4 linked regions of the Mytilus edulis genome follow. The protein of the gene in region 3 purifies or fractionates together with the protein of the main gene of each other region. This does not show direct contact. Links are inferred from orthologs where the notes say so. Each region holds a gene or a part of one and is shown on either strand. Other genes may lie near its edges.

Region 1 (8,730 bases), on a different chromosome or scaffold from region 3:
AAGGGCGAGTTTGGCTAGCCACAAAACCAGGTGCAACCCCCCATTTTCCTTCTTGTACCAAGTCAAGAAAATGTCAGTTGTTATCTTATAGTTCGTTTCTGTGTGTGTTGCATTGTCGTCTGTTTTTTGTTCACTTCAGTTTTTTCTGCTTTTTCGTTGTTTTCCTCTTTAAGTTGATGTGTGAATTTCCATCGATTTAGTTTGTAGCCCGGATTTGTTTTCTCTTATGACAATCGATTTATGCTTTCGAACAGTGGTATACTACTTTCGTCTTTATGAGAATATCTATAAAAGGGGATGATTACATATTTAATCTAGAGATCTTTAGTCGTGGATCTCTTTTCTGGTTGTTAATACATTTAGTTTCAAACACAGTGCGCTCATTGCAAAAGGACATTTTTCGCCAAGCTTTTCTTCGATTCTATTGAAGTGAAATATTTTGTATTTAACTTTCAGCTTGATAAATTATAGTTATTAGAGTACACTTTAGAAGTTGCAAGTGATTACAATGCTTGGAAGAGTAAAAATCGATTGATGACAACATCGGTAAACAACTGTAGCCTCAATTTGCAATCAGATAAACCTTTTGTCAATGTTGAGTTTGAAAAAAATATATATTACACAGCTGAAAAACGAGATACTAATACTTAGATATAAAGGGTGAGTAGTTTCTTTCTGTACAAATAACACACAAACATAAATTGATCTGGCTTCAAATGCAGCTGGATGGCAGCACTTACTTTCAAGTCAGGCTCAGTAAGTGACAGGCTGAAGTTACGGGTTTGTACTAACATGTGCAACACGACAAGGTCTACACGTGGAGCAGAATCTGCTTGCCCTACCGGAGCACCTGAGATCACCCGTAGTTTTGTTGTCACAGTTCGTGTGGCTCAGTCTTTAGTTTTCTATGTTGTGTGTTATATACTGTTGGTTGTGTCTCTGTTCGTCTGTTCCTATTTCTATTTCAGTCATGGCGTCGACTTATTAGTTTTAATGTCCCTTTGGTACGTATCTTTCGCCTCTTTTTTAATGTCATGTTAAGTCATTGTATATCACATCAATTCCACAGCATTTCAAAACTAGGGAAAAGTTGTAGCATACTAAATTTAACGGTATATCCTGCATATTTTACATGATTGAGTAAAATAAATATCAATTTTGTTGCTTTTAGATAAGGGTTTCGGAATGGCCGGTACAGCAATGTTATGGTCAAATAAAATAACAGAGAAAATTACTGTTTTGAATGAGGGGAGTCATAGAATTAGTGCAGTGACACTTAGTGATGATATTTTAGATTTTAATTTGTATTGTGTTTATATGCCGTGTCAAAATTATTCCATGGATTTATTTGAAAGTACTTTGGACGAACTAGGTGAAATTATGACAAAGTATAGTAACTCAACAACTATAATATTAGGTGACATGAATGCCAGTGTGAATAGGTCAAAGGGTTATCGCCAAGATAAAGCTTTAAAGTCATTTCTGAACGAGAAACATCTGTCCGTGCCATAGGACTACCCAGAAGAGCATACATATTACCACCACGGTGGGAAACAATCTTCCCAGATTGATTATATAGTCATATCCTCAACTCAAATAGATAAAATCTCAGATATAAAAGTCATGATAGATGAACCGCTTAACACTTCATCTCATAGGTCAGTGCAGGCAACCTTGTCATGTTTCTTTTCAACAAGAACTACTAAGTCTGGAAAATCGATTTCAACACTGAAGAAAGTGAACTGGAAAAAACTTGACAATGAAAAATATGAAAAATTACTTCATCAGAGACTTAGTTATATGTTTATTGACAATAGTATTTTCTCATTTATCGAAATGAGCTGTGAAGAACTTTTTAATATTTTAACTACAACCGCCTTTGAATGTGCACCAACAATTTCTGTTGGAAAAAGGAAACGTTCATGGAACTCTATGCTGCAACAACTCTGTAAACAAAGCAAGGATGCACATTGGAAATGGAAATCTCTTGGGAGTCCGTCTGACATAAACGACCCTGCAAACAGAAAACGTCTCGATATGAAAAGAGAACTTAGAAAACTCCAAAGACAATTGAATGCAGAAGAGCGACATTCTCTCTATCAGAACATTATGGATGCTCATTCTGGTGACAATGCCACATTTTATAAAATTATTCGCCGTCAGAGGCAGAGTGGAAAACGCTTACTCGACTGTCTGATCATTGATGATGTTCATTTTGATACACCTGATCTTATTCGTGAGGCATGGACAAATTATTTCACTGATTTATCTACTCCGTCTGAAAAACCGCAGAATCAACAGTACCGCTCTCAAGTTGAGCTAGACCGTATTTTGCTTCAAGACATATTGGAACATGAAGATGAAAAAACTATTGAATTTGATATTGGAACAATTCAAAAATGTATTTCTAAAATGAAAACCGGGAAAGCTACTGACCAATTTGGAATTTCTGCTGAACATTTTAAATATGGAGGTGAAAAAACAGCCAAAATACTTACAAACTTGATAAATGAAGCATTTAAATTTAAGCGTGTACCACAGTGTTTCAAAGAAGGTATTGTTTCACCGTTGTTCAAAGGTCATGGAAAACCTATCTGCCTACCAAAATCTTATCGACGTATAACAGTTTCTCCTGTAATGGGAAAATTGATGGAATCGGTACATCTTTGTTTAGAGGAACCTAAACTACTAAAGGTACAGAGCAGACTTCAACGTGGCTTTACTGCCGGGGTCAATCCTACTTTTGCAGCACTTCCCCTGACTGAGGCAATCATAGAAGCAAAAGAATTAGGACAAACATTATTTACTACTTTTGTTGATGCGTCATCCGCCTTCGATGTTGTTTGGCATGCCTCTCTGTTAAAAAGTATATTTAAAAGTGGAATATCTGGACAAAGTTGGCAAATCTTAAATGACTGGTACACGAATATGAGCTCTGCAGTTCGATGGGAAGGCAAGTTATCTACTTCGTTTGCTGAACTCCAAGGCGTCCGTCAAGGCAGCGTATGGTCTCCCTCTGTATACAAACTTTTCGTTAATCCGCTAATAAAAAAGTTAGAAAGTGAAAGTTTGGGTTTTAAAATTGGTAATGTGTTTGTGGGTACTCCAATGTGTGCAGACGATCTGCTACTTATCTCTTCAAAACCTGATGAACTCCAGACTATGATTAGTTATACTTCCCATTTTGCAGAGACAGAAGAATATAATATAAGTAAGGAAAAAACTAAAGTTATGATATGGAACTCATCTTTGAATTGCAACCTTTGGAATCAAATGGAAAAGTTTCACATTGGCTCAGAAACATTAGAAACTGTAGAAAATTATAAACATATTGGTATTGATAGAGACTCCCGTGAAGTAGAGGCAACAAGAACAATTATTGGAAATCGTTTAAAAACTGCAAGACAGACTTCATACGCACTTATGGGCTCAGGACTACATGGTTTAAATGGACTTAATCCAGAGGTGTCATGTAAACTTTGGTCAACATATGTGGTTCCACGTTTGTTATTTGGACTTGAAATTGTAAATCTTAGTGCTAAAGATATTTCCCGCTTAGATATCTTTTGTAATAACTTTTTGAAACAAATTCAAAATTTACCTGCTAGAGCCTCCAACGCTGGAGCTTATCTACTTTTAGGTCAATTACCTATTATTGCACTTCTACACAAAAAGATTCTGATAACGTTTGGTACCATTGCCAGAAGTGACTCTGTCGAAAATGATCTTGCTAAGCGTCAACTGTCTACAAAAGGAAAAAACTCTAAAAGCTGGTTTATTAGGGCTGACAAGATTTTGAAACAATATAACTTGCCGTGTGCCTCAGAAGTTTTACTTAAACCAGAGACAAAATACAAGTGGAAAATGAAAGTAAAAAAGTGTGTTGATAACTTTTGGTCCGAAAAACTGTTTACTGAAGCCAAATCAAAACCGTCATTACGGTACTTAAATATCAAAAACTGTAAAATTGGTGTTGTTAATTCTATATGGAAAAGTGCTGGTTCAGAACAAATGTGTATACGTAAAGCCTGTTATAAGATCAAAATGCTATTGGATACATATATTCTACAGTACCACCGTTCAAAATTTTCAAATGGTCAAAAAACTTCAATTTGTCCGCTATGTGAGGAAGGAACTGAGCATTTAGAACATTTTCTTGTCGTATGCTCTGCCTTAACAAGTATTAGAGACATTTTTATCTCAAAGCTTTATACAGTTATTGTACCAAAGATTGGAACCGTTGCATGGACTGACATTTGCGTTAGTAACTCGAAAATGATACAATTAATCTTGGACTGTAGTCGTTTCGAGTGGTATCATGTGTTAGAGAAAAATGACATAAATTTGGTGGAATCAATCACTAGAAGCCTGTGTTACTCGCTCCATGAAAAGCGTAGTGTGCTCCTTGAAAGTAAATAAACATTTAAAAGTTGTAAGGTTTACCAAACTCATAGGCTGTAAATAGATAAAATTGTTTAAAGATAAATGTATAGTGACTGGAAACAGATGTAAATATAAGGCAACAAAATTTTACTGGATGAACTCCAGGTTCTCCTGATAGAGGAGGGATTTACAGAAGGTAACAGGTAACATTCCCCATATCTCCACGTTCCCCAAGACAAAATTCCTGCATCCGCCCCTGCCCTGACTATACTAGTTATGTATGTCATTGGGGAGTTTAAGCGTATATAAACTCATTAACAGAATCAAATTCGAACCAATTCTTCTAACGACAATGAGGACTTTCGTTGTTTTTTGATATGTGGTGATTCCAATAAAAAAAATCGCCCATATTAAGACTGAAAATGCCGTCCAAACTCTAAGGTATATTTAGAAAGAGCAGTCCATAAAATGTGACATTTTTTTTGGATTAACTTGGAAATCTACCTATGGAAAGGGTAAATATTATGCTTTCAGATAAACACTGTTTGTAGACTTTTTGATTTCTTTTCTCTTTTTAATACTGATCAATACTTTCATTGAGAAGGGAACGGTTATCTGACACGGTTATATTCCCTGACAATTCGCTCGGATGTAACAATCATCGATAGTTTAGAATTTGATGTTTGGCTTATCTAACTATATTGAAAAATATATCAAAATTATAAAATAATTTGAATTTTGACTAAACATTTCTTACTTTGACGTAGACAACTTGACCAACTTCAAGCAGATTTAAATTAACAGGATTTAACCCTTATTACATGTGGCGAGTTGGTTAACCAGTTTGGTGCGAGTTGGTGCGGGGCGATTTTTTCAAAGTGGGGCGAGTTGGTGTGTAGGATTCCATTAGTTAAATAAATCTTTAGAACACTAAGTTCTCTTCTGCTAAGCATATACATGAATATATGATTAAACAAATGGACTGGAGGTCAGTATCTTGCATAATATAGTTTATTAAGATATTTCACATATTTTTCTTTTATTTAATTTTGTCCACATCTATTTTTCTTCATTATTAGGTATTTAGATTCACCTTAATATTGATCCTAGTTTGGAGTGTCATTCCCCATATCTCCACGTTCCCCAAGACAACATTGTTCAATATTTTTGATACATTGTGTAAGTATTCTTGGGTTTCATATGTCTTTTAAGTGATCTTAAAATTTAGAAAGAAAGTTATGATTAGTCTCTGTTGTAATTGTATAGTATGTCCATTATCTTGTAGAAGTCACAGGAGTTTGAAATCCTAATAACAGTTTAAAATATACCGAACTCGACTATCACAGTAGAGCTTCTCTGGAACCAACTCCTGTGTAGAAGTAGAAGATCTGGAATCTAATTCCCAATTCCCATAATTGACCCTGTAATTAAATATTCCTATTTAGTTTTCTTCCTTATGAGGGACATTTTAATTTTTATCATGTTTATTTACTAGCAGACTATATTAATAGCATGCCCTAGATAAATAGAATTCAAATGCATTGTATGATTTAGAAAATTCATAACTTAACTGGATTTTGCTGTACACTTTTTTTCGTCCCTGCAAAATTAACAAACAGTTGAGTTTACCTTGATATGGTCCATTCAGGTACACAGTTTAAATAACCAATTATTGTCAGGTATCTATTGTCCATCTCATGTCCATGTCAAGCAATACAGCTCACTTCAATTATTACCTGTGGGGAAGTTCTCAAACCTGTTTCCCAACTTAGTTTATTTTGGCACCCTCTGGAGGAATGAAAAAAAGTGCACGGCAAAATCCTGGTAAGTTTTTATTTTTCTAAAACATAAAACATATTTGAAATTTATTTATCTAGGGCATGCTATGCCTGAAATTTTTTACAGATGCGCAGGTTTGTCTGTACTCAGAGTAAATTTTGAGGTGAAAATACGGCCATTTTAGCCATAGGGTCCACATGAACCTTTAGAGCAAATTTCATAAGAGCAAAATTAATTTGTTGTTAAGCTAAATCATGAACATGTGTAAATGCTTTTGACATCAGAATTTTTTTTCATGAAAAATTAGGGGAAGGTCTAAAACGCGGAAGTGAAAAATGGGTGTATTATAACTAATATCTGTGGAACCGCTTAAGCTAAATCAATAAATAGAACTGATTCTGAAAGCTATTATAATAGGCTATAAGATAACATTAAACAAATATTTATTAAAATATGCATTTTTACCGAAAAGTTGACCGGAAGTCTTTCTTAGTGTGACTCTGGCAACACATTTTTGAACATAGTTTGTTCAGTAGTTACTTTTAAAATCACAATTCCCTAATGTGGTGGTGCTGATTGTCAATTATGAGAATTTAATTTGCCGAATAATTTATGCAATATAGCTTTATAGTTTTCCAACCACTTGCTAAACATTGGAACGGAATCGATGACACCCCTAAATGCACGAGTGACGTTCACTGAAACCAAAGTTTTTGAAGGAAATGCATCAAACTCAAAAGTTATCTATTGCTTTTGTGCAAATCAAAGGAAATTAATTATTTGGTAGCAGCAATAGACTATAGTATTGCCAATAGTATTATATATGATACAAGACAAAAGTTGCTGAAATGTCCAACAAACTTTAACATACTCTCCGGAGCACCTGAGATCACCCCTAGTTTTTGGTGGGGTTCGTGTTGTTTATTCTTTAGTTTTCTATGTTGTGTCGTGTGTACTATTGTTTTTCTGTTTGTCTTTTTTATTTTTAGCCATGGCGTTGTCAGTTTGTTTTAGATTTATGAGTTTGACTGTCCCTTTGGTATCTTTCGTCCCTCTTTTAACTTTATTCAAATAATTAACATTGTACAACAAGACAACAGAATAAAATAAAATCAAGGGGAAAGACCCATGCCAGAGTAAACAAATATTCAGGCTAACATGTACATGTAGTTGGATGAATAGATCTGGATTCTCTTAACTTGTAAGACTTGTAAGGAAATTTATTTTCACAGCTTGCCTCCTTGACTTAAATGTATTTTTATGAGTGACAGTTTTTTTTATATTTGGAAGTGGATTGCCAAATCAGATCATGATCATTCTTCTGTAAACTACAGGTGACTTTGTAATACAATATACATGTACATTTTGTAAAATTACAAGCCATTCAAAAATGACAGAAATCATTGGATGTCTCTTATTAAAGATTATTGGCCTTAAAGTCATAAGAAACGAGTGACCGGTGAAAAAAAATGTTCTTCCATCAGAGCTCAGACATAAACAAGTCCATTTTTGTTTTTGACTTAAAGAAGTCAAAACATGTATTTATTATAATACAATGTATGTGTTTTCAATTTTAGACTTATTTAAGTCAGAAAAAGACAGACTTGTTTACATGTAGGTCTATTTATGTTGATGAAAAAACTTAATTTTACTTGGTGGCCAAAGTACTCCACCTATGACAGCAAAAACCTGTCTGAGAGTTCACAAGGACTTGAGCTATCTATATTTAATTATTTAATTGAACATCCTTACTAAGCACAGATGTTTTACCTTATTTAGTGTGGTTCCAGGTGGTTGTTTTGTAAGGTTAATTAACATTATCTCCAATTTTTTAGACTCTCATTCATATTTTTCTATAGAAGACAAAGCATTGTCCTTCAATGTTGTCATTATTTGATTTAGATGCATGATTTTTTTATAAATATGCATGGGTCTTGAAGTTAACCAATTTTGATAACTTATCGACTTGTAGGAGTCGACATTTGCAACTTTTTGATTCTGGTCAATTATTTCTTGCTTAACAGTATTTGACTTATTTAAGTCGTATTTTGTCTAGCATTAAAGGGAGACAAATCCTAAAACATACAAATTTAGACCTCTATGAGTCAAAAGCAGATTCAGACTTATTTATGTCTGAGCTCTGACTGTCCAATTCTTGAACCAATGCATACAAACATCATTAAGTTAGTCTTCTGTGCACGAATTTATCATTTTTTTCGTGTAAGTTTCGTATAATTGTCAATTTTTTTTTCAATCGGTCAGTGTTTTTGTGAAAATATGGCAAGTAACTAAAGTTCGTGTTTTGAAGCTGAAATTTAACGATGGTCACCTCAGTGAGTGAGTGTTTGTCAACAATCGACAAAAATCTACAAAATTGAGCACGTGTTTAACATGTAAATTCAGATAATAGTTTATTTTAAGGACATCCATTCGTATTGTGATCACTGGATTTTTACGAGATGGGTCACACTGAGGTCACTTTGCATACGGAAAATATGTCGGGGAATTGCTTCCTGGAAGGAAGCAATTAAAATAAAGTAAACTTCTTCTAAATATGAATAAATTAAA
Region 2 (8,614 bases), on a different chromosome or scaffold from region 3:
ACATGCAAGAGGACTTTTACAATCCTTAACAACATTCAAGGGGGTCTTCAAATGTATCTTAATGTTGCTTTTTTCTTTTTGGCTTGTTCATACTTTTTAAAGCCTATAGCCATTGGAAAATTAAATGGTTTGTTTTAAGGCACTAGCTACGGTTACATGAAAATGTAACAATAATATAAAAATTATTGTTACATTGGAAACTAATTGCCGGAATGCAAGGTAGGGTAAGGAATCGATTATTTATGAATGTAACAATAATATTTGTGTCTACGGTTACATTGCATTATTGTTACATTCAAGACTGCAATGTATGCTAGATTTATTAAACTTAAACCTTCTGAAGTTTAGATACTTAATTCTTTCTAGATGGTATTAGTAATAATTATAAAACGAATAATGTTTAAATAGTATCAATTATTTAGATGTTCTTAAAGATACTACTACAACATGTACACTATTTATGAATACATGAACTGTTCAATCATTTGTGTCAATAGAGCATGTACTGTCACCAACAAGAACGAAATTACAATCCCAAAATACATTTGCATCTGGACTTTGAAAATGAAAATCACTGTTTCCACCAGTTTCAACCTGTAGGCAAATGTCAACCATGTCAACATTAATTACTTTCACAATTGAAATGTATTTATAAAAAACCTCACATGCTTCATATAAAAAAAATATCGCAAGAGTACAAATATATTTTCCAACTGACATGACTGAAGCATGGCAAAATGAGATAGTGCAGAATGGAATTGTACAGTAAGGAATACAGAGCATGCACGTTACCACATCACTGGTTGGTGTAGGGTAAGGAATACAGAGCATGCACGTTTCCACATCACTGGTTGGTGTAGGGTAAGGAATAGAGCATGCATGTTGCCACATCACTGGTTGGTGTAGGGTAAGGAATACAGACCATACACATTGCCACATCACTGGTTGGTGTAAGGTAAGGAATACAGAGCATGCACATTGCCACATCACTGGTTGGTGTACGGTAAAGAATAGAGCATGCACGTTGCCACATCACTGGTTGGTGTACGGTAAGGAATACAGAGCATGCAAGTTGCCACATCACTGGTTGGTGTTGCATGGCTGCTTAGAGTGATTTCATTAAAAATGCATCGGACTAAAATATGCTCCAAAAACAACTTACTGGATTTGCAGGGTTTAAGCTAGGATTTTGAGGGCTTTAGTCACTTTTGAACTCTATTAAAATCAACCTTATTTTGTGTAAAAGCAAGGGACCAATGATGTATATTACTAGCTTCATCTTTTGACTTTGTCAGATTTTAAGGGATTGAGGCACCAGCATGATTGGCAGTTATTGTATGATTTGACCATGTTGACTGTATTGGTCATTATTATGAAAGATTCTGAAATGGAATCCAGAAATTTAGTTCACAATTTCTCTTCAGTTTGTTCCAGGGGTCATTCCTGATCAACAAAAGATGGATTCTTTTTTTTTTAAACAAGGAATCACAGCAGAAATTAACTTGAACTGATTATTTCACTTCATAATCAAAATCCTTATAAAAGGTCTAAATCGATTTTTGGAAATCATTTCTATCAAGTTGGAAATGTGTAAAATCCTTTGTGGAACTATTATAATGACTGAAAGGAGGTTGTAAACAAATCAACAATAGATCACGTTTACTACTTTCGGTTTTAAAATGAAACGAAAACGGGAAGTGACACCTGGATAATAAATTCAAAATGAGTCCGGATTCATCAGAAAATTAACATTTTTCGATTTAAATTCCTTTGGTAAGAGATATATATTTGTCTCTTTCATTTAATTGATTCTAAATGATTGCGTATTTTACGTTTTTAATGTATATAAATAGTCAAAGGAATACTTTCACGCATGCCTAGATCACAATACAGGAAGCACCTGTTTAACTCGTGCAAGTTTTGAATAAACACATTAAAGTTCCTTATTCTAAATTGAAATTGCCGAAAGTTTTTGATGAAAATTTAAATCAAATATGACGAAAATGCTTTCGAATGACAAATCTACGACAAACGACATTCAAATTGTGATCGTTTGAGAAATATTGAAATCCAAATGCGAACTGTCCGGGTTGTTATATTTTTTTATTAAATGACGAAACTATACTCCTGGTTGTTGAAATGCCGAGTGACTGATCTTCCTGGTGAAATAATTATGATGGTCATTCAATTATGGGGTTTATTAATAATTAACGGATTAGTGACCCATCCGATGGAGATAAGCGGATTAGTTGTAATCACAACTTGTAACACCTGTTGAAAATGTTAATTACCTGGAGGTCATAAACTTGTCGAAAACATGAAGACAGGTAGATTTATAGTTTTTATTGCGAAATTTTTTTACACTTTAAAAATTAAAGTGGCGAAATTGATTTGAAATACTTTCGTCAATGAGAAAACCCTTTCGTAAAATTGTAGTTCAATGTAAATAAAAATTTTAAAAAATTGTATGAAATATTGTAAATATCAGATTTTAATACAAATGTAAAATTGAGAAATGGGGAATGTGCCAAAGAGACAACAACCCGACCATGGAAAAAGTGTACATACATGTATTACTAGTCCCATGAATACTTCTTTGCAGTGCTTTAATGAAACAATAACACAATTTGTAACCGTAGACAAACCTTTAGCATGTCTAGTGCATGTGCCATGGACACTATTTTCTTCCCATTGCCAAAATTTTATTACTATTGACAGAAGGCTAGTGCCTATGCCCAACCCTGCATTCCGGCAATTAGTCTCCAAAGTAACAATAATATTCCCATGTATTGTAACCGTCCTAGCCAATGCCTCGTTTTATATTGTGGAAAACAATGAGGGGGGGTAGGAGGGGTCCTGATCCTGAAATCCCGGGCTTAAAACACGAAATCCCGAGGTCCCGAATTTAAATTAAGTAAAATCCCGGATCCCGAAATTTGAAAAAAAGAATTCCCGGACCCCGAAATCCAGAGCTTAAAAACACCCGATCCCAGAGTCCTGATAAAGGTCCTATCCCCCCTCAACAATTGCTCTTCAAAAATTTTCATTTGGGAACTTTTGTTTTGGAAATCCCCTGCAAATAGTGACATTTGGCAGGCATGAAGATTGGACCCTGGCCATACAGGTATTAGGGCGAAAAGTAGTCCAAATAATTATACATCTTGAAAGGCCTAATTATTCAGACTAGGCGGACAAATACATGTATGTGTGCCAGGGTGATTGTACATAAGGGCCAACAAACCAGGATTCAATCTGGTGGATGCCAGGCCTTCAAACTCTTCCAACTACACAGGTTAGTCTGTACTCTGAGGTGTAAAAACAGCATTTTTGTCCATCTTAAATCCCCCTCCCCCCTTTTTTTTTTACATTGTATCTGACCAGCTAACATTGAACATGTGCTGGTGTGTTTATTGGTTAGTCAACATACTGCATAATTGAAATGATGATCTTCTATAAACTCCTCATGTTTAGACTTTTCATTTTTAAAGCTGGATTTTTCAAAAACAAGTTTTCCTATGGGTAAACTTTTCTCTATGGGCGCAGCCATTTTCTTCGGAATTACCTAAAGACCGGAACATTGCTTACAAATAAGTTTTCATATTTTTATCAACAATGTAAAATTACTAATAATTTACAGGAAATTAAAAATTATACATATTCTCAAATCTAAGAATAAGTTTTGTTGTTTTTTTTGTTCTTTAGACATATGAAAATATTTTTTGAGCCCAGAATTCGCATGCCTTAATTTATGCCTCCATGAGACTGTAAAAAGAGCAGACAGCAATATTAGTTAAACCTCTCTGTATTATATATAGTTCAGTGTTAAACAGTAAGTCAATAATAGTTTTATTCATGAGTTTTGCTCTGAAAATCAACTTTGTCATCTTTGTCTCTGAGACAAAGGAAAGTGTAGGGTTGTATTTTTTTGAGTGTCACACAGAGTCACTGGGAGTGTGTAAAGAAATGATTTCAATTTGACCTGTATGAAAATATAAACAATAATACTATACTTCATTGAAAATCTAAAAGAGAAAGTCCATGAAAACGTACAAAATCAAACGTTAGACTTTGTCAACAGAACAAAAGGAAAACATTAACTGTCATGACTGTAATCATGGTAATTGTATTTAAGTGATAAGTTTCCTGGTAAAATATGTCTGGTTGAAAAAATATTACTAGTAATATGTATAATATGAGGCAGGCATTACCTGTGAATGGGAACGAAGTCTGTAATATGAGGCAGGCATTACCTGTGAATGGGGACGAAGTCTGTATTATTTTTTTTTTAATTCAATCATGTTGATAAAAGAAACGGAAATACCGTAACGTTTCCGATATTGGTTCTGTTGCTAGGGATTTAGTTGTGACGTTATTTAAGTTATGATGTCATATTCAATGTAAACAAAGAAACGCTGTTATCCAGGTAACATTTTTTTCCTATCAAACAATTATCAAAAATGATTGAATGTTGAATTTATATACATTTTATTCAAAGTCTCATGCAAACAAGACCGGAAAAGGAAGTAGATCTGAAAAAAAAAGTTAAGGATTTTGAGTTCATTAGTAGAATGAAAAATTCGGGGAAATTTTCCTGAATTTTTTTTTTTATTATTGATTTTTCAACCGTAATTTGGGACTTCGTCCCCAAAAAAATAGTACATGGTTACAAAATTTACTAGTATAAATATATTTAGTCCGGGGATTGTAATCTATGTCCCCAGACTAATTTTCCTAGGAAATCATGTCCTAGCTATAAAATCCTATAATAAATTCAGTTACATATATATATAGGAAATCATGTCCATGTCATTAATATTCACATTAATTTCCGAATTTGCGCAGCCCATGAGTTAATTATCAGTGTTGTTGGGTCACAAGTTGAATATTTTTAGATATTTGAATTCTTTAATTAGTTATTCTTTTTCTTACATTGGCAAATGGCTTTTTTTAAAGAAATTAATGTAAAACATGTAAGCAACTACATTTATATCTTTTCCCTATGCATTCACAGTTTGTTTTGACCCCCCTTATTGATGTCTTGACAACGCCAATTGTTGTATGACGTCAGAGAGTGAAATAGTTGTTATTTCACATGTGAAATTATCGGTTTTTATTTAACTGGGAAATCAATGTAATTCATTGCAACCAATGTTATAAATTCTCTTATAACGTTGTATAATGCAGGTTGCTTTTGTTATTTCAATAATATTATTGAGTTCAGTCATTTCAACTGCTCAGGCAAATAGAAAGTATATTTGTGTGAAGGTATTCTCAATTTCTACAAATTTCTATGTCCTAAGATGCATACCTAGAGGTTTTTAGTGGCACTTTTTGTAGTGAACTTCATCAAAACTGTAGTTCAATCCACATACACAAGGTAGAATCAGCTTACTTAAAAGAATATATGTACCTGCCAAGTTTTGTTAATTTCTAATAAATGTACTTGTATAAAATGGTTCAATAAACATTATTGAATTTAATGTGTAAAGTTAACTATCAACAGAGGGATGATGGCAATATAAATCCCTTCAAGAGTTTTAATTTTTTTTTTCTAAACTGTAATTTTTTTTAAACATTTCTGACAAGAAGTGAATTATTTTAATCAGTCTGTTTGTCAAAGTAACTACAAAATCGTATATCCTTGACATATATAGATTGATGAAACTAAAATATAAAAACCAGATTTTAGCTGAATTTTAGCTTATGAGGCTTAATCTCTATCATAATAAACATCTTAACATCTAACATTTTGTCTAATGTCAAGGAAGGTCTGATGAGGTGACAATCTTGATATGAATACAATTTATTAACTGAAATAGATCAAAATATTTGCGATGAGTTTTAAATCTAGGCCAGGAGTATTGACTCTTATATGTAGGTTTTATCCATTATCATTTTCTGACCTCAGGTATATATTATAAACGTTGTTTATTTACATTTTAGATCTTAAATAGTTTCGTCCTAGATGATGACCCTGGTGATATGGGTAGACCCCAGGATATGCATTAGATAAAGTTGCTTTGTTAACATAGTCAGTGTAATATCTAGTATCACTAATGACAAACTGGATTGTTATAAGATGTTAAAAATGACTTGAACAGACTGAGCAACAAGTATGTCTTTAATCCGCTATTTAAAAGTTCCTTTACACAAACGCTGTACAAGTGATGCCTTCTACAGAGCTTTCCACAGAAGTTGTATAAACAATAACGAAGCATCAAAATCATTGAAGACAGTTGTTGATTTGCCAAAGCATGCCCGTGTGGTGATATGTGGTGGGGGTGTAACTGGGTCATCTATAGCTTACCATCTAGCAGAGAGAGGTTGGAATGATGTTGTACTGTTGGAGCAGGGGAAGTAAGTAGCCTACAGTGGGTCAGGGGATATTGTAACATTAATAGGGGTGTAACTGAGACATCTATAGCTAGCTACCAACTAGCAGAGAGAGGGTGAAATTATGTTGTATATTGCTAGTTCAGGGGACTTTAATAACCTACACCGGAAGTGAATGCTAAAATATTACTGTAATATTTAAAAAAAACTTTAACTTTGAGGAGGCAATAATATCAGACCAATTAAGTCTGCAAATCAACTACTTGAATTTAACATAACCAAGATAACTGCCAAAATCATGTAAAATGTGATGAACATGGTAAAATTTGTAGAAAAGGTTTTCTTTTTTTAACTCTTGCTTTTGTAGATATACATGTGGAACAACATGGCATTCTGTTGGTTTAATTGGTCAATTGAGAGATGATGTTCCTTCAGCTAGACTAGTCAAGTACAGTGCTGAACTGTACAGGTCATTAGAAAAGGCAGGACATGGCATTGGTTAGTATAACATAGGTCATTGGCAAGTCCAAACATAGAATTGGTAATTATTTCATCTGAATAGGTCAGTAGAAAAGGCAGGACATGGCATTGGTTAGTATTATACCTGTACAGGTCATTAGAAAAGGTAGGACATGGCATTTGGTCTGAGTATTATATAGGTCATTGGGAAGTATAAACATAGAATTGGTCATTATTATATTTGTACTGGTCATTAGAAAAGGTAGGACATGGCATTGGTCAGTATTATATAGGTCAATGGGAAGTCCAAAAATAGAATTGGTCATTATTGTATCTGTACAGGTCATTAGAAAAGGCAGGTCATGGCATTGGTCAGTATTATATCTGTACAGGTCATTAGAAAAGGTAGGACATGGCATTGGTCAGTATTATATAGGTCAATGGGAAGTCTGAACATCTCATTGGTCATTATTTCATCTGAATAGGTCAGTAGAAAAGTTAGAAAATGATGTCAGTTTTATATCTGCATAGGTCATTGAAAATTAGAAACTTTTAACTAAAAGTCAAATTATAAACATAAGTCTAAAAATGTGGTTTGGATGTGGAAATTTCAATAATTATTTTATATCTATAAGTAAATAATTTTATTAAACGCTTACTGATTTTTTTGACACTGAAGTTATGATTTTTTTCAATCAAAGAATTATAGTTTAGGTATAAGAATATTTTATTTATAGGGTGAATAAATATATTAATGATATCAAACATGTCAAAGGAGACAATAATGCAATCTAGTAGACCACTTTCGAGTTCATCCATCACCGGCAGAAACACGTCAATTATGCCTGCCTTTATGATGTCATTTACCAGATAGAGGGGGTCGTCTGTATCCCTGCACTATTTAGGTTCATCAGGCGTCTTAGTTAATTTCATTGTGCAGGATAAACTAGAAATAATGGTTGTTCTGTAGGTACTAAATGGCAATTCCCTAATGACAGCAGTGCTGATTGTCAATTTTGAGAATTCAGTTTGCCGAATAATTCGTACAATATAGAATTATAGTTTTCCAACCACTTGCTCAACATTGGAATGGAAGTGACGACGCCCCTAAGCGCACAAATGACGTTCACTAAAACCAGAGTTTTTGATGGAAATGCATCGAACTCGAAAGTTGTATATTGGTGTAACACCACTAATTCAGGCCCGGCCAGAAAGCACATACCAGAAAGTAGTACATATTTAACACAAAATAGTTTCTACGCATGAGTGTAACTTTCAAAATATGTAGAATATTTAGGTATTGTTGGTATCAAATGAAAGATTAAGGACTGGTGAGCATTTTAGAACACTTTTGGACTTTTATTTTTGAATAATAAAAAGACTGCACTAATTTTTAAAAAGAGGGTACATTTTGTCTGTTTGTCAGATCTGATGTACCTGTTTTGGTACATCCTAATTTCCGCGAACCAGTTCTTTCTTATATGCCATTAAAGGTATGTTGATTTTTTCAGTACAAGACACCATAAAGTGTTGCTTTGAAATGCAATAATTGCCAATTTATTTGAACTTAAAACAAAAGAGGTGTGCCTGCTCTAAAATCTCACTGTACATGCAATTTTGAACCAGTTTAGCAAGTTATCTAGCTGAGGGATATATAAATTGCTCTAAATAATCTATATTTTACCACAGAATTATGGTTTATTCCAAAAAAAGCCCTTTTCCAATTTAAAGAAAAAAGGGGGGACAATTTTCTCATTTATGTCTTAAGTTTGGACTAATGTATTTTTATTTAATGAGGGACCTCTGATAAAAATAGGCTATT
Region 3 (8,206 bases):
CACGGAAAGAAGGGAAACATGCGACTGGATATGTATAAAGTGTAAAAAAAAAAAAAAACCTACACGATCAGGACTCGTTGGCATGTGATTGCTGTTTAGACTGGCAACGTTTGAAATGTGCAGGGTTGAAATCTGTGCCAAAACAATCATATTGGATACGTAAAATTTGTTCGAAATCTTAACTAGTCAGTTACATGAATCTTTTATAATTGGTTTAAATTGATTTATCACTTGCTTCTTTAATTTTTATAAACTCAAGCTTTAATTTTAGTAGTTTTATATATTTTAAAATTTCAGTTTCTGTTTTACATTTTACTAAAAGATTGTTTTAAAATATCATATGGGTATATTTTTAAATTATTAAAATGTTATTCTTTAAATTTTCATTTAAATTTTATAATCGTATTAATTTCTATCATGTTTTTCTTTTACAGGGACTGTACAGTTTCATTTTACATCATTGTGTTTTTAATTTTGCAATGTTTATTATGTATCATTATTTAATAAATACAATTTGAAAATATTATTTTTCATACTATTCACTCTTTCTACACGAAATCCCAATATTATCGATAATTTCCGTATATATTTCACGTTTCATTCTCGATCCGATGGCATTTTAATAGAAAACCGGATGTGGGTACGTGCAGCCTAGAACGGCAATTTGACTATTCGTACCCACATGCGGTTACGCGCAGACACTGCCTTTCTGGAACATGCTGATTATTCATATACAATGTATGTATGCAGATATATCAAAAGAAATTCAAGGGAAAATATTACAAAGGAATCTATTGATATGTAGCAAAGATTAACAATTTTGAAATTAAGTTACTATGCAAATCAAAGGGACCTTACTCCGATATAAACATAGAATGAGAATAGATTGAGTAGATCCAGAAGCGGTCATATTTGCCAGTCTTGTCCTAAACTGAAAGTGTTTGTCCTAAACATGGAATTGGGATTTAGGACAAATTTTATTTTTTAACAGAAATAATTTCTGTCATTGAGTTGAGATTGAGTTTCTAAATTGCCATTTTGAACTTGTTTTTGTTTTATTATCCCTTTCCGGTAATAAACTGCCCCTCCAGGAAGTACACCACTAATTCATGGTCCCATTGCTTTCTATGTTAAATTCCTCCGTTTCAAGCAGGCACACCTCTTTTGTTTTAAGTTCAAATAAAGTGGCAATCATTGCATTGCAAAGCAACACTTTATGGTGTACGTCTTGTACTGAAAAAATCAACATACCTTTAATTGCAAATAAGAAAGAACTGGTTCCCAGATCTTCGGATGTACCCAAACAGGTACATCAGATCTGACAAACAGACAAAATGTACCCTCTTTTTAAAATTTGATGCAGTTTTTTTAATATTCAAAATTGTCCAAAAGTGTTCTACAATGATCACCAGTCCTTCAGCTTTTATTTGATACCAAAAATACCTAAATATTCTACATATTTTGAAAGTTACACTCATGCGTAGGAACTATTTTGTGTTAAATATGCACTACTTTCTGGTATGTGTTTACTGGCCGGGCCCGAATTAGTGGTGTTACACCTCCAGTATAGTGTTTTAATCCTGAATGCCCTCCTAATAACTATATAAATGCCTGGGGGAAGTATTGGCTTATGATCACTAATCTCTTCACCAAGGATCCGGAAATTTTTTCACCTAATTTCGGTCATTTTGGGATAACTTAAAAGTTGGTGCCCTTTTTCAAACAAAGATTGTGTGTATGCTCATACAGTCATACTCGTAGCATTAACAAACTTGTTTAACTGTTGCATCGCATTTATTTCAGAAATTTCCCTACCATTTTCCTTAAAATCGATCTTGAGCAATAAAAGGAAGGCAACAGTTTAAAAATGAAATGATTTTAATGACTCAAAACGATAAATTTCTCAAACTTCGCTTACGTTTCTTTCGATTTTGAAGCCAAAATTATAACTGGATGTTTTACGACAATAGTAAAACGACCAATTCCGGACTCATTTCCGGGATTAGTTTTGTTAATCAAATTCACAGGAAATCGTCGGCTTTTTAACTGTTTTACCTTTAATAGTGTTTGAATATTAATTATAATAGTTGGACTTGTTTAATTTAGCATGAAATCATTTTGAATTTACGATTTAGTGTCTAATTTGCGGAATAGAATTTCAAGCATGCGTATTAGTAAACAAAGCATGTGTGTTTGTAGTGAAACAACATTTTGTTCTACGTAAATTAATTTAATTTTAATTTAATTTTAAATCAGAATTGACAATTGTCTAAGCTGAGAAAAGTAATAAAATAATGCAGACAGTTGTTATGAACTTTTAATTTCTTTAAAATATTAGTTCTGAGCTCGTGATCAATAAAAAAAATTAATTAAAAACGTACACAGTTAAAGAGATTAGCGATCATTAGCCAATATTTCCCAGAGGCATTACTATAGTTATTAGGAGGGCCCTCAGGATTATAACACTTTACTGGAGTGGCAGTTTTATTACAGGAAAAGGATAACAAACAAAAAATAAGTTCAAAATGGCGATTTAGACAATGTTAGAAACTCAATCTCAACAAAAAGACATTGGATGACCGAAATTATTTCTGTAAAAAAATAAAATTTGTCCTAAATCCCAGTTACTCATTTAGGACAAAATACTTTCAGTTTAGGTCAAGACTGGCATATATGACCGTTTCCGGACCCTTGCTCTTCACCTATATTTTTAATTCAAACCTGGCTATTGATCACAAGCCTAGAACTAAATTGAAAATAAATTAAAATTCCATAACAACTGTCTTTCAGCTAATTGTCAAATATGATTTTAAAATTAGATCAAAACTTGATTTAATTTCTGAACAAAAAAGTCACTACTAACACATATGCTTTGTTTATTATGTAATATGCATGTCAAAATCCTCTTCCCTAGATCAAGGATAAATTTGTATAGTGACACTATACAAATCCTTGCGCAGATTAGACACTAAATCGTAAATTCAAAATGATTTCATGCTAAATAAAGCAAGTGCACTTACTACAATTTGTATTCAAACACTATCAAAGGTACAAAAATTAAATATGCCGATGATTTCCTGTGAATTTGATAAAAAAAAGACTAAACCTGGAAATGAGTGCCGAATTGCTCTTTATATAAAATTTTGCAGAACATCCAGTTTCAAATTTTGTCTTCAAAACAGATGACTACACGATACGCATATTATGTGTTTACATAAATTCCAAGAATATATATCATATTAATATCTGAATAAGTTTATCAAATTTGATGCCCTAACTATTCAAATCCTTGCCTTTACTATGTTCATTGATAGTTCTTTTTTAAAAGTAGGGCGAACGAACTTAGGGCGAACAGAGCCAGGGCGAACATGTTATTAGGGCGAACGGACCCGATACCCCGAAACGGTGACCGCCAATTCTGTTTTAGATTACGATATCTCCACCTAATTCCGTCCCTATCAAAATAACTGAGTTATATATTTTCAATCACTCCAGAATCTGTAGAATGTCACGAACCTGTTGTGTTTGTCTTTACTCGTCAATATTTATCTGATCATTTTTCATTTCACGTGTCGTCCTATTTATTCCATTCGGAACAATCCTTAGATTGATTCCGAAAGGTAAAATATTTTTGGCGTTGCTAGTAAAGAACACAGTACCCATATATATATTTAAGCGAACGGTTAATACCCGGTCATTACAAGATAAAACGAGTTTTGTCTGTTAACATCTCAAAGTTAAAGGAGGGTTGTATGGGGTTTACAAAATAGAAGACCACATGTATGCAATTTTATCTCAGAATCTCCCCCCCCCCCCCTAAATATCTAATATAACATTATATAATGTAATATTAAGGTATTTAGTAGGAATATTTTTTTCTGAGATCTGAGTGCCTGTGTAGGGGGTTAAAGAATATACGCGACAAAAAATAGGAATAGCGGCAAAGAATCAATAAGCAACAACAAAGGAATAAACAAAAATGCTTATAAATCTTGACCTAATCAAGGATTTGTATACTATACAAATCCTTGACCTAATAAACAATTTTATCCTCGTCAGATTTGCTCTAAATGTTTTGGTTTCAGAGATATTAACCCATATTATCCCAGTGACTGACTATATAATATAGTTCTTATTTTCTGTGTCATGTTGGTCTCTTGTGGACAGCTGTCTCATTGGCAATCATATCACATCTTCTTTTTATATATATATAATACACGGATATATGTTTATATTAACGGATGTTGACCATCATGGCATACCGTGAGCACCTACCCTGGTTAAAATGGGGTAGACCATTTTCAGTTAGCTTCTTCAATCGTGTTGCTCAGTCTTTAGTATGAATTTTGTATACTGTAACGTTGTCTTTTGGTTGTTTCTCTTGCCATGGTGTTGTCTTCTGCTCTTGAATGTCCAAGTTTGCCACAGTATCTTTCGTCTCCATTTAAACAACAAATGTCACGCATTTCATATACTTTTAAAGAAACTCTTTAATTCTGAACATATATATATCTGTTAATATTGACTTTAAACTAGCAATTACTCTGAGAGCAATTAATTTATAAGATATTACAAGAGACATGTAAGACGATTTATCCGGACTTATAATATTGTAGTATTTTGAATGCGTCTTTGATTGATTATATCGTAACAAGTTCATTTTACTCAGGGCAGTGAGTTTTCTGGTTTTGTGTGTACATATACCCTTTTATAAACTCGTTTTTTCATGCAGCTAGCTTCTTCAATGGTGTTACTAGTTCATTAATCGTTGCCTTTTGGTTTATTGTTACTTCGGCAGTTTTTAAATATAAGGATTCTTACATAGTTACTCGTGGATTATCGGATTTATCCAATCTTGATAGTTAAATTATCAATTTAACAGTCCGAGCCTCGGCGAGGACTTAAAATTGATAATTTAACTATCAAGATGGGATAAATCCGATAATCCACGAGTAACTATGTAATAATCTGTTTCTCTAATTATTAAAAAAATACATTTTCTTTTTTGTTAACCGAAAATCCCCTTCGACATTTCACATTGCACGAAGTTGTCAATTTTACTAACACCTGTCTGATTCATCCAGTTAGCTAAAAAGGTCACGACCCTCATCCTCCCACGTAAATCCACATGTATTTGAATCTACTTTGCAAACGCTTTGCCAATTTTGTTGTATTAGAAATTGTAATAAAACAAAAGACAAAAGAACTTTTATTCTTATTCGGATGCATAATAAAAAGAATTAATATAATGCAACTAGTTTTGTTTATTTCCTAAATATAGTAACACAGCTATGTTGTGCAATGTCAATTTCATCATGGAACACTTTCTCTACAATCAGGGGTTCATTAAGGGATGAAAATAAGCTTGATATTTATGTTACGATTTTAAAAGCTATTAATATACTAATTTAAGTTGCAGTATAAAAACAATATTTAGACAATGTCACAAAAATATTATTTTTTTTGTAACCATCGAAGTTCGTATAATATTGTATTAAAATGGAATTCTGAGGTAGGTTTTGTTTTCTTTTCTTTGATTTCATCGAGTCAACATGGCAGCTCTTTCGTTACAAAATGTCAATTTTGGATTTGACGGTAGCTAGCTTACGAGAAAATATGTAAATTAAAAATCGGAAATATTGGGTTTGAGAATTAAACATATTTTTTCCAGCGATATTAACGAAATAATCAATGCAAGCTAAATATTTATGAGAATATTTGAGCTTTATCTAACAAGGAGTAAAAAAGAACAGCTTCACACACGGCATTACCACTCTCGCTTCAGTATTTGAATGAACTTATTTGTCCTATTAGAATCGAAATAATTCATGGAAGCCATAGATTTGTTGTAAATTTACACATGGCCTGGACCGTGATATTCGTTAATTTTTTCCCTCGCTAACGCTCAGGATAAAATTCGAATATCACGGCCCAGGCCATGTGTAAATTTCCAACAAATCTATGGCTTCCATGAATTATTTCTTAAATCACTGTCGACTGAGATTAAAGATTCTTACAACATTCAATCAAAATAGATATTAATATATGAACACATAGGTTATTTCTAGCATAACATCTTTTGCGCTACTACATCTGTTGTTCAACGTTCAAACAATTCACAAATCCCGGCCACCAATTTTTGGCCCCTATTATACTTCGTATCTCTTGAATCATTTGATTCCACCTGGCCACCAATTTTTGACCCTCATAACAAAATCCCGGTCACATTTTTTTTTTTTTTTTTTTTTTTGACTACAAATTTTGAAGTTATTTAATTTAACACATAGAATTATTATTTTATGAGAACTTATGATTTTTTTTTCAAGTTTTAAATGTGTGTATATTAAAGTACAATTAGTATTTTCTTAGAGATTGTTTCAATTTTTTTTTAATTTTTATTATTATTATTCATAATTTTTATATAAATAGATTTCATTTACCAGTAAGAAATTTTTAGAAATTTCTAATTTGTGGGCGGGGGATGTTATGTTTATCTTTTTACAGTGAGTTGACTGTTAGTGTTGCTCTCCACCAATTGCAACTCATTCACAATTTTGACCAAATTGCAATTTGTTTTTTAAATTCAAATTGTTCAACTGGTCAGAAATTTGAACCAACTGCTGTAGAAAACCACAGCCAAGTGATGAAAGTGCAAGGTGATAAAATAAAACATACTTATAATCCTATAAGACTTTAACTCCACTTTAATGATGTGGTGACAAAATTAGTTTATCAGTTTGTATAGTTATATTATATTCATTTCCATGCTGAAGGGGAACTGTTTATTTTGAATTGCTATTAAATTGTCCAAACTAAGCTTTCATATAGTTTTTCTTTCTAAAAGTCTTCTATATTTATAAGAATCAGATATCATTTTAAATAAAACATCATATATTCAGTAAAATATGTGTGAAATAACAATATGCTATTGATAAATTTTCAGGGGAGATAACCTAATAATATTATTCTTTTGAATAAAGACTTTTTGAAAGAAAAGTTATTATCTCCCCCATGAAAACTTCCTACAAACATATATTGCAATTTTACACATATTTTACTAAATATGAAATGTTTTAATTCACATAATGTCTGATTCTTATAAATACTAGAACACACCCGTGATATCGCAGGTCCGTGACTGAATTAAAGTATATAACTATGCGCAAGCCTTATTTTAGTATTAGTATTGTCATTTGATAAAGTCATGCCGATTATAAGATACACAGTTTTCTCCGCTTTCAAATCTTTCTGTTTGAACCCGTCGAACTGGAACTTATCAATTATTGATAATATTAATTATTTGGAAAACAAAAGGTCCTGGAATGGAGTACTTTTTAATCAACAGCATTGTCCTATATTAGTCATAAATAAAGTTGAATTTTTTTATTCGTCGTTTTTACGTGATGACGGCTGACAAATTGGACCTCGTAATTTTAGTATTATAGATAGAATACTTTTAGAAAGAAAAACTATATGAAAGCTTAGTTTGGACAATTTAATAGCAATTCAAAAAAGTATTCTATATTTATAAGAATCAGACATTATGTGAATTAAAACATTTCATATTCAGTAAAATATGTGTAAAATTGCAATATATGTTTGTAGGAAGTTTCCATGGGGGAGATAATAACTTTTCTTTCAAAAAGTCTTTATTCAAAAGAATAATATTTTAGGTTATCTCCCCTGAAAATTTATCAATAGCATATTGTTATTTCACACATATTTTACTGAATATATGATGTTTTATTTAAAATGATATCTGATTCTTATAAATATAGAAGACTTTTAGAAAGAAAAACTATATGAAAGCTTAGTTTGAACAATTTAATAGCAATTCAAAATAAACAGTTCCCCTTCAGCATGGAAATGAATATAATATAACTATACAAACTGATAAACTAATTTTTGTCACAACATCATGAAAGTGGAGTTAAAGTCTTATAGGATTGTAAGTATATTTTATTTTATCACCTTGCACTTTCACATTTTGACTGAACAATTTGTTCATTTTTCTGACCAGTTGAACAATTTGCTTTAATAAAACAAATTGCAATTTGGTCAAAATTTTGAATGAGTTGCAATTGGTGGAGAGCAACACTAACAGTCAACTCACTGTAATACTGGTTAATGAAATCATTACAGTGTGTTCTGGCTGGTCATTATCGCGTATGATACGATTTTGACACGCCTACATAGCTAATGAATA
Region 4 (7,992 bases), on a different chromosome or scaffold from region 3:
CTGTCTCATATGTCTTCTTCTATATCATGTAAAAGGTATTCAATATTTTCCATATGTCTGTTGTTTGTCACATTTTGATTATGGGGTTACAAATTGTGAATGAAATAATGGACTGTCGAAAGTTACAAAGATATGATGAAAAGAAGTTTTCTGTAGTTATGTCTCTCACAGACAGCCTGATTCATATTTAATGTACTGGTAGTTATATATTAGGGTACAGGGTTGCAGCTGGCCGTCAACATTTTCACAATTTGCTAAAAAATAATAATTGTGTCGATTAAAATTTGTCATTTGTGAAAGAATTTGGCGAAAGAAATATATATAACAATTTATTTTTATCCATCTTGTTTATTTACTTTTTTCGGGTTTCTCTGACTTTCCCTGATCAGACAGTACTCGGAATTCACCTTGAACTCTTCACCTTGAACTCGTTAAGATTTTGACAGAAAATCAATAATCAGCTGATTGCATTTTATAGCTAACGACAACAACGGACTAACTAATAAAGGTGTTGATTGTATTGTTAGTCAAAATGATATGGTTACATGGCAACCGTCACATGTCACATAAAGGATTTATTAACCACTTTGCGACGGACATGTTCAAAGCAAATAGGGGAATCAAATTCAAATGGAATTCTATCACAAATAAAAAGACTCCAATATACTTTAACAAATATTTACCTCCTATGTGAACAGTATGTAACATGACTTCACAATCTTTGACCTTTGTCATAAAGGTTAAAGTTGACTGGATCATCAGATGACATCCACGTTTAACTCGTATGATAATGATCCCAGTGTCTGGGTTAAAATATTTCACTGAAATAAATGAATATTCATGTTTTAATGATACAAATATGTACCTTATCCAAATAGAGATAAAAGGACCAAAATTACAGAGAATGGAACAATGAGCAAAAAAAATAAAGAATACAAAAACAAAGACACCCCTGCCTTGCTAATAAATGGTGAAATTAGGCAGTTTTGGCTGCTTTTAGATTGAATGCTAAGAACAGCTGAAAGACTGCTAAATATATGAAGAACTAGTAAATAGCAGCTATTAAACAGTTAATGATAGCAATTCAGTTTGACATTGGATTGTGTAGACCCTCATGTATATGTAAAAAAATCAATTAACATCCCTTACATTACAATTACAATTACTTATTTAGAGAAGAATGCAATTACACAAGTAAAGCAAAGAACTGAAATATTCATTACAGTTTATTCCAATAACTGAATCAGTTTGTTTGTTCATACATTTTCCTGATTTAATGGAAACTTGAAAATGGCAGTGAGAAAATGCAACTGGAATACAGAAATTCTTATGTATGACTTTGAAATATGTTGAGTAAAGGTCAAAGAGACAGCAATCCAACAGCAAACACAAACAATAACATTTATGTACCAAATAATGAAGTCATAATAGACCCTGTGCCATAATCTCCATGATATTTTGATACTGTATCTTTCAAACAACGAAGAAAGTCCATCTGTGAAAACTCTGGTTTCCTGCCATCTGTTACAACTTCACACACTAAATATCTGAAATATAATTAAAGTAAAATCAATTTTTTTTTAGTAGAGTAAAATTCATTGAATCATAAAGAATGTGTTTTGAAAGTTGTTCATGTTCAGGATTATATGTTAATTTGATCAAATACAATGGTGAACCCTCTTTTTACATTTTTTTCTATATACTAGTAATAGTCCAATGCAAGAGAACCTAAGCTGTTGAAAGGATACCTTCTACTCACATCTCAAACTTTTCCTAAAAATTTTAATCCCTTTGGTTTTTTTTTTTGGCTAGATATAAATATATATACATTATGCATTAGTAATTTTTTTAAGTGACCTCTGTATTTTTCAACTTTTTCTAAAATCTAAATACTATACATAGACTTCATAAATTTCTGCGAGAAACAAAATTGGTTTCTCAGTACTAGCTTAACACTTAAATTGTTGTGAAAAATGGTTGTATGTATTTATTGCTACTTTACAAAACTTTCTTTTGATCTTTGTGACTGATAATTTCCTTTCTCGGAACAGTACAGTGATATGAATAATTATTGCTAAAAACTATGGTTGCATGTGCCATCGTCAATGAAATTGACAACATTGTTGGTAAAATAGCTATGAACAGATCATCATTGGTCATCCCAACTCTATCGCATTTTCTCGCTTGAGCTGGTACAGTGAACGTTTGTCATCTAAACCATAATCTATAAATACAGTTTGACACTGATCATTATACATTGTACAGTTGTACATCACCATGCATGCATGTTTATAATGTTGACTTCTTTCTTTTCTTGTTTTATTTGGAACAGTTGTAATAGTTGCAGTGCTAAAGAAGGGTAGTAATGGGGTACCTTCATGATGAATAACAGTAAAAATTCTTACATAATTTTTGTTGCATTGACGATAAAGTGTACACTTTCTTTTCCAGGATAAAAAAAAATAGACTGATTTTGAAGCATCTCGTTATCTTTTTTCCAAAAATGATGTTAACGATAATTATTTGAGACCTCTGACGAATCACAATATAGATATTTTGATGAATCACTTTAAGATTTTGACGAATCACTTTAAGATTTTGACGAATCACTTTAAGATTTTGACGAATCCCAGTAAGATTTTAACCAATTTGATGCTAACGGTTGTCATGGTTTTCGCAAATGACCGTTTGAGGCCTGATGGTAAAAGGCATTACTACCCTCCTAAAGGTAGCTGAAAATGAACATTAGGCATCTAAAGGCAAAATTCATTTGTACCCTCAAATTAATTGTCATGTCAACTGTATAGAAGAATTGATGCATCTAGTCCAAATAATTATAAAAATTGGCGAGGCTATTTAAATTTTTTCTGGGATCCCTTCCTAGGACCGTCATAGGCAGGCGTCCCAGGAAAAGACTTGCCAGACGTCATAATTATTTGGACTAGGGCGCATCCAAAAAGGGGGGGGGCAGGGGTTGGACCCCCCTTTTTTGGATGATAAATGCATTTGAATGGGCACATATATTTAGAACACATTCACACACAACTTTTTAACCTGGGTCCCCCTTCTGAAAATTGCTTAATCACTTTCACTTAATGTATATGAACCTGTTTTTGAACCGAACCATCTTCTTTTTATTTTTATCAGCTTTCAGTCTCTAGCAAATTTGTGAAATAAGTTAAATTACGAATGAAAGTTTCCGATCATTAAATTTTGAACTTTTATTTGCCATCCATTGCAATTATGAAAAATAGGATAAACTATAAATGATTAAATGAGGAAGGATATTTCATAAAATTTTAAAAAAAATGTAATTTCATCACTAGAATTTTAAGATATGACCGTGCAAGTAACGGGACTAGAATACACAATTTATGTCTATCCAACATGTCTGCGCCCATGAATGTCAACATTTGGAACATGTTATTTTTGTATTTAAGGAAAGAAGTTTAAGGCCAATCATCATGATCAAGTTTATAGATGTCTACTGTTTACATTATTGAAGAGAAGTGTTGTAAAAAAATATCAAAACATGAAATAACCGGTCAACCAGTGGTCCATCTGTCAGACTATTGAAAAATCTTACGTAATACACAGCCGGATACACATAAACCCAAGAGTTTGGAGATCTGATGCAATAAATATGACCATATTAATGAGAAATTGTATCTTGCTAAGTCAAAGATTGACTTCTAATAATATCAGACATAGGTCATCAGTTATTGGTAGACAATTTTTGAAGTTGAAATGTGATAAACCCAAAGTCTTCCATATTTTAAAAAGATTTACTAATGTCAAAGCTACCAATAAAAAGGCACCTGACAACTTAAAGAAAAAGACATATGAAATAAGGAGATTGTTTTCTCTTGCAAAACCAGAGAGATGGAAGTTGTCAGGCAAGTGTTATCTGGATAGCATATAAGGCACAAAATGTGCACCATACTGGATAGAACAGTCAGAGCTCAGACATAAACAAGTCTATTTTTGTTTTTGACTTAAAGAAGTCAAAACATGTATTTGACATAAAATGAGTTTTCAATTTTAGACTTATCTAAGTCATAAAATGACAGACTTGTTTAGGTCTATTTATGTTGATGAAAAAACTTAATTTCACTTGGTGGCCAAACTACACAACCTATGACAGCAAAAACCTGTCTGAGAGTTCACAAGGACTTGAGCTATCTATATGTAATTGTCTAATTGAACATCCTTGCTAAACACAGATGTTTTTCCTCATTAAGTGTAGTTCCAGGTGGTTGCATTGTAAGGTTAATTAACATTATCTCCGATTTTTTAGACTCTCATTCATATTTTTCTTTAGAAGACAAAGCATTGTCTTTCAATGTTGTCATTATTTGATTTAGATGCATGACCTCCTTATCAATATGCGTGGGTCTTGAAGTTAACCAATTTTGATCACTTATCGACTTGTAGGAGTCGATATTTGCAACTTTTTGATTCTGGTCAATTATTTCTTGCTTAACAACATTTGACTTATGTAAGTCGTATTTTGTCTTGCATTAAAGGGAGACTAATCCTAAAACTTACAAATTTAGACCTCTATGAGTCAAAAGCAGATTCAGACTTATTTATGTCTGAGCTCTGACTGTAGAATGATAATAATAACAACCTTTATTTAATCAGTATTTATAAGAAGATGTAGTATGATTGCTAATGAGACAACTCTCCTTCTAAGTCCCAATTTTTAAAAGTAAACCATTATAAGTCAAAGTACAGTCTTCAACATGTAGCATTGGCTCACACAGAAAAGTTCTGAGACTACTATAACACAGAGATTGTGTTATAGTAGTCTCAGCACAGAACAACAAGCTATAAACCCCAAAAATGGTTAGTGTAAAACCATTCAAACAGGAAAACCAACAGTTTAATCTACATGTATGTTAAAAAAAAACAGAAAAGAGAAACACGTATGAACAATGGTGAACCACATCAACAAACGACAACCACTGAACATCTGTTACCTTCATTAGGACAGTTGCATTAAGAAAAGCAGCGGGTTTGCACTTTTTATCTGATGCCAACATTCGCCCTAACCCGAGACAGTGGTGTAACAATACGACACAAAAGGACATGTGTACTATAAAACATTTATTAAACAGATTAGACTAGTTTGCATTGTACATGTTGTAAATAATCATAATCTTTATTTAGAACCCATTCATATACAAAAAAGTACAACATACAGCTCATCAGTAATGTTTAAACTGACTATTCTACACATAGATGAAAATAAAATACATGAGAACTGTCATCATTATCATGCACATAAACATTTACATTTTAAATAAAATTGAGAATGGAAATGGGGAATATGACAAAGAGCACAAAAACAGACGAAGGCCACAACATGCACAAAAGGGTCTTCACTACAGCAGAAAAATCCTGCAAGCTTCAGCTGGCCCCTAAACAAAAATGTTAAAATACATAAAACATACATGTATGTAAATTTATGCAGCTGTTTAAGTTACTAAGTGACACATAATGTTAAGAAATTGTACTACATTGTATAAGTGTGTTCACTTAAAAAAATTAATTGAGAAAGGAAATGGGGAATGTGTCAAAGCGACAACAACCCGACCATAGAGCAGACAACAACAGAAGGTCACCAATGGGTCTTCAATGTTGACCATTAAGATCAAAACAAGTTTATTCTATAAATTCATTTTGAAATTTGAAAAAGAGAAATCTATTTGAACTTGTTTAAGAGTGCAAGGAAAATTGGAGGAACAAATGAGGAATCCAAATGGCTTACGTTCTACATGTATATGACTTACCACTGGTAAAAATCAAAGGTGCTACATGTATGTGATTTATAAATTCATTTGCTAGAGAATTGCAATAATTAGATAAACATGATATATATCCTCATCAAATAATGTTTTTACCAAAAAAAAAACCAACTGCACATGAAATAAATTATTTGAAAATGCAAATTACAATCATAAACATATTGTTTGGTTTCTTTTACTTTTAGACAAACAAGCCTAAAGAACACAAAGAATAATATCACTTGTTCTGGCCAGTATTTATATCATTTTTCATTGTTTTTTAGGTGCTGTTGTTTTATTGATCATATCAAGTGGTGTTTCCATGGCAGTTCCATTTTGTATTGGAAAAGTTATAGATATTATTTATTCACCATCTGAACAAGAAAAAATGAAAGAGAAACTTACTACTTTCTGTCAGATAATGGTTGGTGTATTTATTGTTGGTGCCGTAGCAAACTTTGGAAGAGTTTATTTAATGTCAGTATCAGGTAAATATTTGGAAATTTGATTGACTTTATTGTATGCCAAATCAATAAAATAGTGCACACATTCATCATGTTCACCATGTAAATATAATACACCTTATCGCTAATCCCTGCTGACGAGGCCGCTTGAACTTTTGACGTCAACAACAATCACTTTTCCATTGTGGCATCAGATATTTTGTTTTATGGCGTCAAAATTTTACGGGAACCTGTGTGATATCCAGTAATGACGGACAAATAGCAATAAGGTGTATTAACTCACACAAACTGCTAGAATCTATGAGGGTCTGGATGGAGTGAACACTTAACAGAATAGAGAATTATGGGCCATACAAAAAATTAAAGACTGTAGAATAATATGGTGCTCCAATAAACATATAGAATTGATATTTATGAAGACACATCAATAAATGAACATGAGGTAGGAAAAAATAAGGGAAGAAAAACATCAATAATCATGCATTTACATGACCCTTGGAGTAAGGGAGATAATTTAAATCATTACAAGTAACCATCAATACAATACACCTTATCACTATTTAGTCCATTCCGGGAAAAACAGTCATTTATACAACTTCCTGTTTGGGTCACCGGCCGAAAAATGGAGGTCATCAGTAGTGAGCTGAGTGAGAAAAAACTTTAGAAAGTGATCATCAAGAAACTTTGATATAGTATGATCCACTTTTTTCGAAATTAAAATTGAACTAAAAAAATATTTTGTTTGAAGTATTTACGGTAGTTTAAACAGGTCTCATTAAAAAGTATCATGCATGGTGAATTGTTTAAACAGGGTCCCAGATAGCTTCAACTGGATGAAAAAGATGTAATTTTAGAACTTATCCGAAATGGAATAAATAGCAATTAGGTGGATGCACTGGCACAACTGCTTTTCTCCTTTTAAGTCTATATAACTAAATAATATGCTCTCAATTGTTATCTCGTAATCTCTGTTTTCTTAAGAATATAAAAGAAATAATTGTGATAAAGATTTAAAAGAATGGAGAATAATGTGATGCTCAATTATAAACAATACTGTGGAAATTATTATTAATCGTTGGATACCAATTTTTCGTTGGTTTTCAAGTATACAAGTGAACAATGTATTCAAATGTTTGACGAATTACAAGTTTTTTATATAGTCATTGATAGTCAGACTGTCTTTGTATGCAGAAGTTGGCAAAACCACGTAATCAAATATCCCCGTAAATGCAAGTTTTCCTCAATCGATGAAAATTGATACCCATGAAAATAAATGAATTCACAGTATATAGATAAGAATACAAAGAGAGTTTTTTGAGAGTGCTAAGAGTCATTTCAGAATTTATTTAAAATAAGGAGATGTGGTAGGAATGCCAAAGAAATAACTCTCCAACAGATTTTTAAGTAGTTGGCAAATCCCCTGTTTTACTTTATGTTTTAATTTTGTCAGAATAGATGTACTTCTGACTCATGTTTTGATGTTATATCTGATTTCAGGAAATAGAATTATTAATAGACTTCGACAAACACTTTTTTCATCAATAATGCGTCAAGAAATGGGGTTCTTTGATAAAACAAAGACTGGCGAGTTAGTGAATAGATTATCTGCAGACACAACTCTTGTAGGCCAGTCTGTTACTCAAAACATATCTGACGGACTTCGAGCTGTCGCACAAGCCACAGGTGGAGTTGGTATGATGGTAGGTTTACCATGTTAACAGTAATTTAACATGTCTAAA

What was found.
Region 1: the proteins of ribonuclease P protein subunit p14-like (region 3) and ribonuclease P protein subunit p29-like purify together in Homo sapiens (affinity purification with mass spectrometry; 3 studies listed by BioGRID and IntAct, counting the BioPlex papers as one, with this or other methods). This does not show direct contact. The link is inferred for Mytilus edulis from reciprocal best matches to the Homo sapiens genes RPP14 and POP4.
Region 2: the proteins of ribonuclease P protein subunit p14-like (region 3) and ribonuclease P protein subunit p40-like purify together in Homo sapiens (co-immunoprecipitation; 3 studies listed by BioGRID and IntAct, with this or other methods). This does not show direct contact. The link is inferred for Mytilus edulis from reciprocal best matches to the Homo sapiens genes RPP14 and RPP40.
Region 4: the proteins of ribonuclease P protein subunit p14-like (region 3) and ribonuclease P/MRP protein subunit POP5-like purify together in Homo sapiens (co-immunoprecipitation; 3 studies listed by BioGRID and IntAct, with this or other methods). This does not show direct contact. The link is inferred for Mytilus edulis from reciprocal best matches to the Homo sapiens genes RPP14 and POP5.

What each region holds. Positions count from the first base shown.
Region 1 is NC_092348.1:15,792,096-15,800,825, reverse strand, and holds the start of ribonuclease P protein subunit p29-like, read left to right. Parts: upstream 1-5,458; 5' UTR 5,459-5,562; intron 5,563-7,430; exon of another isoform or gene 7,431-7,496; intron 7,497-8,730. UniProt on the Homo sapiens protein: Component of ribonuclease P, a ribonucleoprotein complex that generates mature tRNA molecules by cleaving their 5'-ends.
Region 2 is NC_092348.1:201,799-210,412, forward strand, and holds the start of ribonuclease P protein subunit p40-like, read right to left. Parts: upstream 3,558-8,614; 5' UTR 3,548-3,557; coding exon 3,428-3,547; intron 2,638-3,427; exon of another isoform or gene 2,587-2,637; coding exon of another isoform or gene 2,569-2,586; intron 1-2,568. Other genes in the region: pyruvate dehydrogenase phosphatase regulatory subunit, mitochondrial-like, read left to right, coding at 6,116-6,357, 6,701-6,831. UniProt on the Homo sapiens protein: Component of ribonuclease P, a ribonucleoprotein complex that generates mature tRNA molecules by cleaving their 5'-ends. Also a component of the MRP ribonuclease complex, which cleaves pre-rRNA sequences.
Region 3 is NC_092344.1:46,637,715-46,645,920, forward strand, and holds the start of ribonuclease P protein subunit p14-like, read right to left. Parts: upstream 3,624-8,206; 5' UTR 3,517-3,623; intron 1-3,516. UniProt on the Homo sapiens protein: Component of ribonuclease P, a ribonucleoprotein complex that generates mature tRNA molecules by cleaving their 5'-ends.
Region 4 is NC_092346.1:2,263,440-2,271,431, reverse strand, and holds the start of ribonuclease P/MRP protein subunit POP5-like, read right to left. Parts: upstream 3,208-7,992; 5' UTR 3,128-3,207; coding exon 3,108-3,127; intron 1,548-3,107; coding exon 1,411-1,547; intron 822-1,410; coding exon 684-821; intron 1-683. Other genes in the region: ATP-binding cassette sub-family B member 10, mitochondrial-like, read left to right, coding at 3,644-3,896, 6,074-6,277, 7,751-7,953. UniProt on the Homo sapiens protein: Component of ribonuclease P, a protein complex that generates mature tRNA molecules by cleaving their 5'-ends. Also a component of the MRP ribonuclease complex, which cleaves pre-rRNA sequences.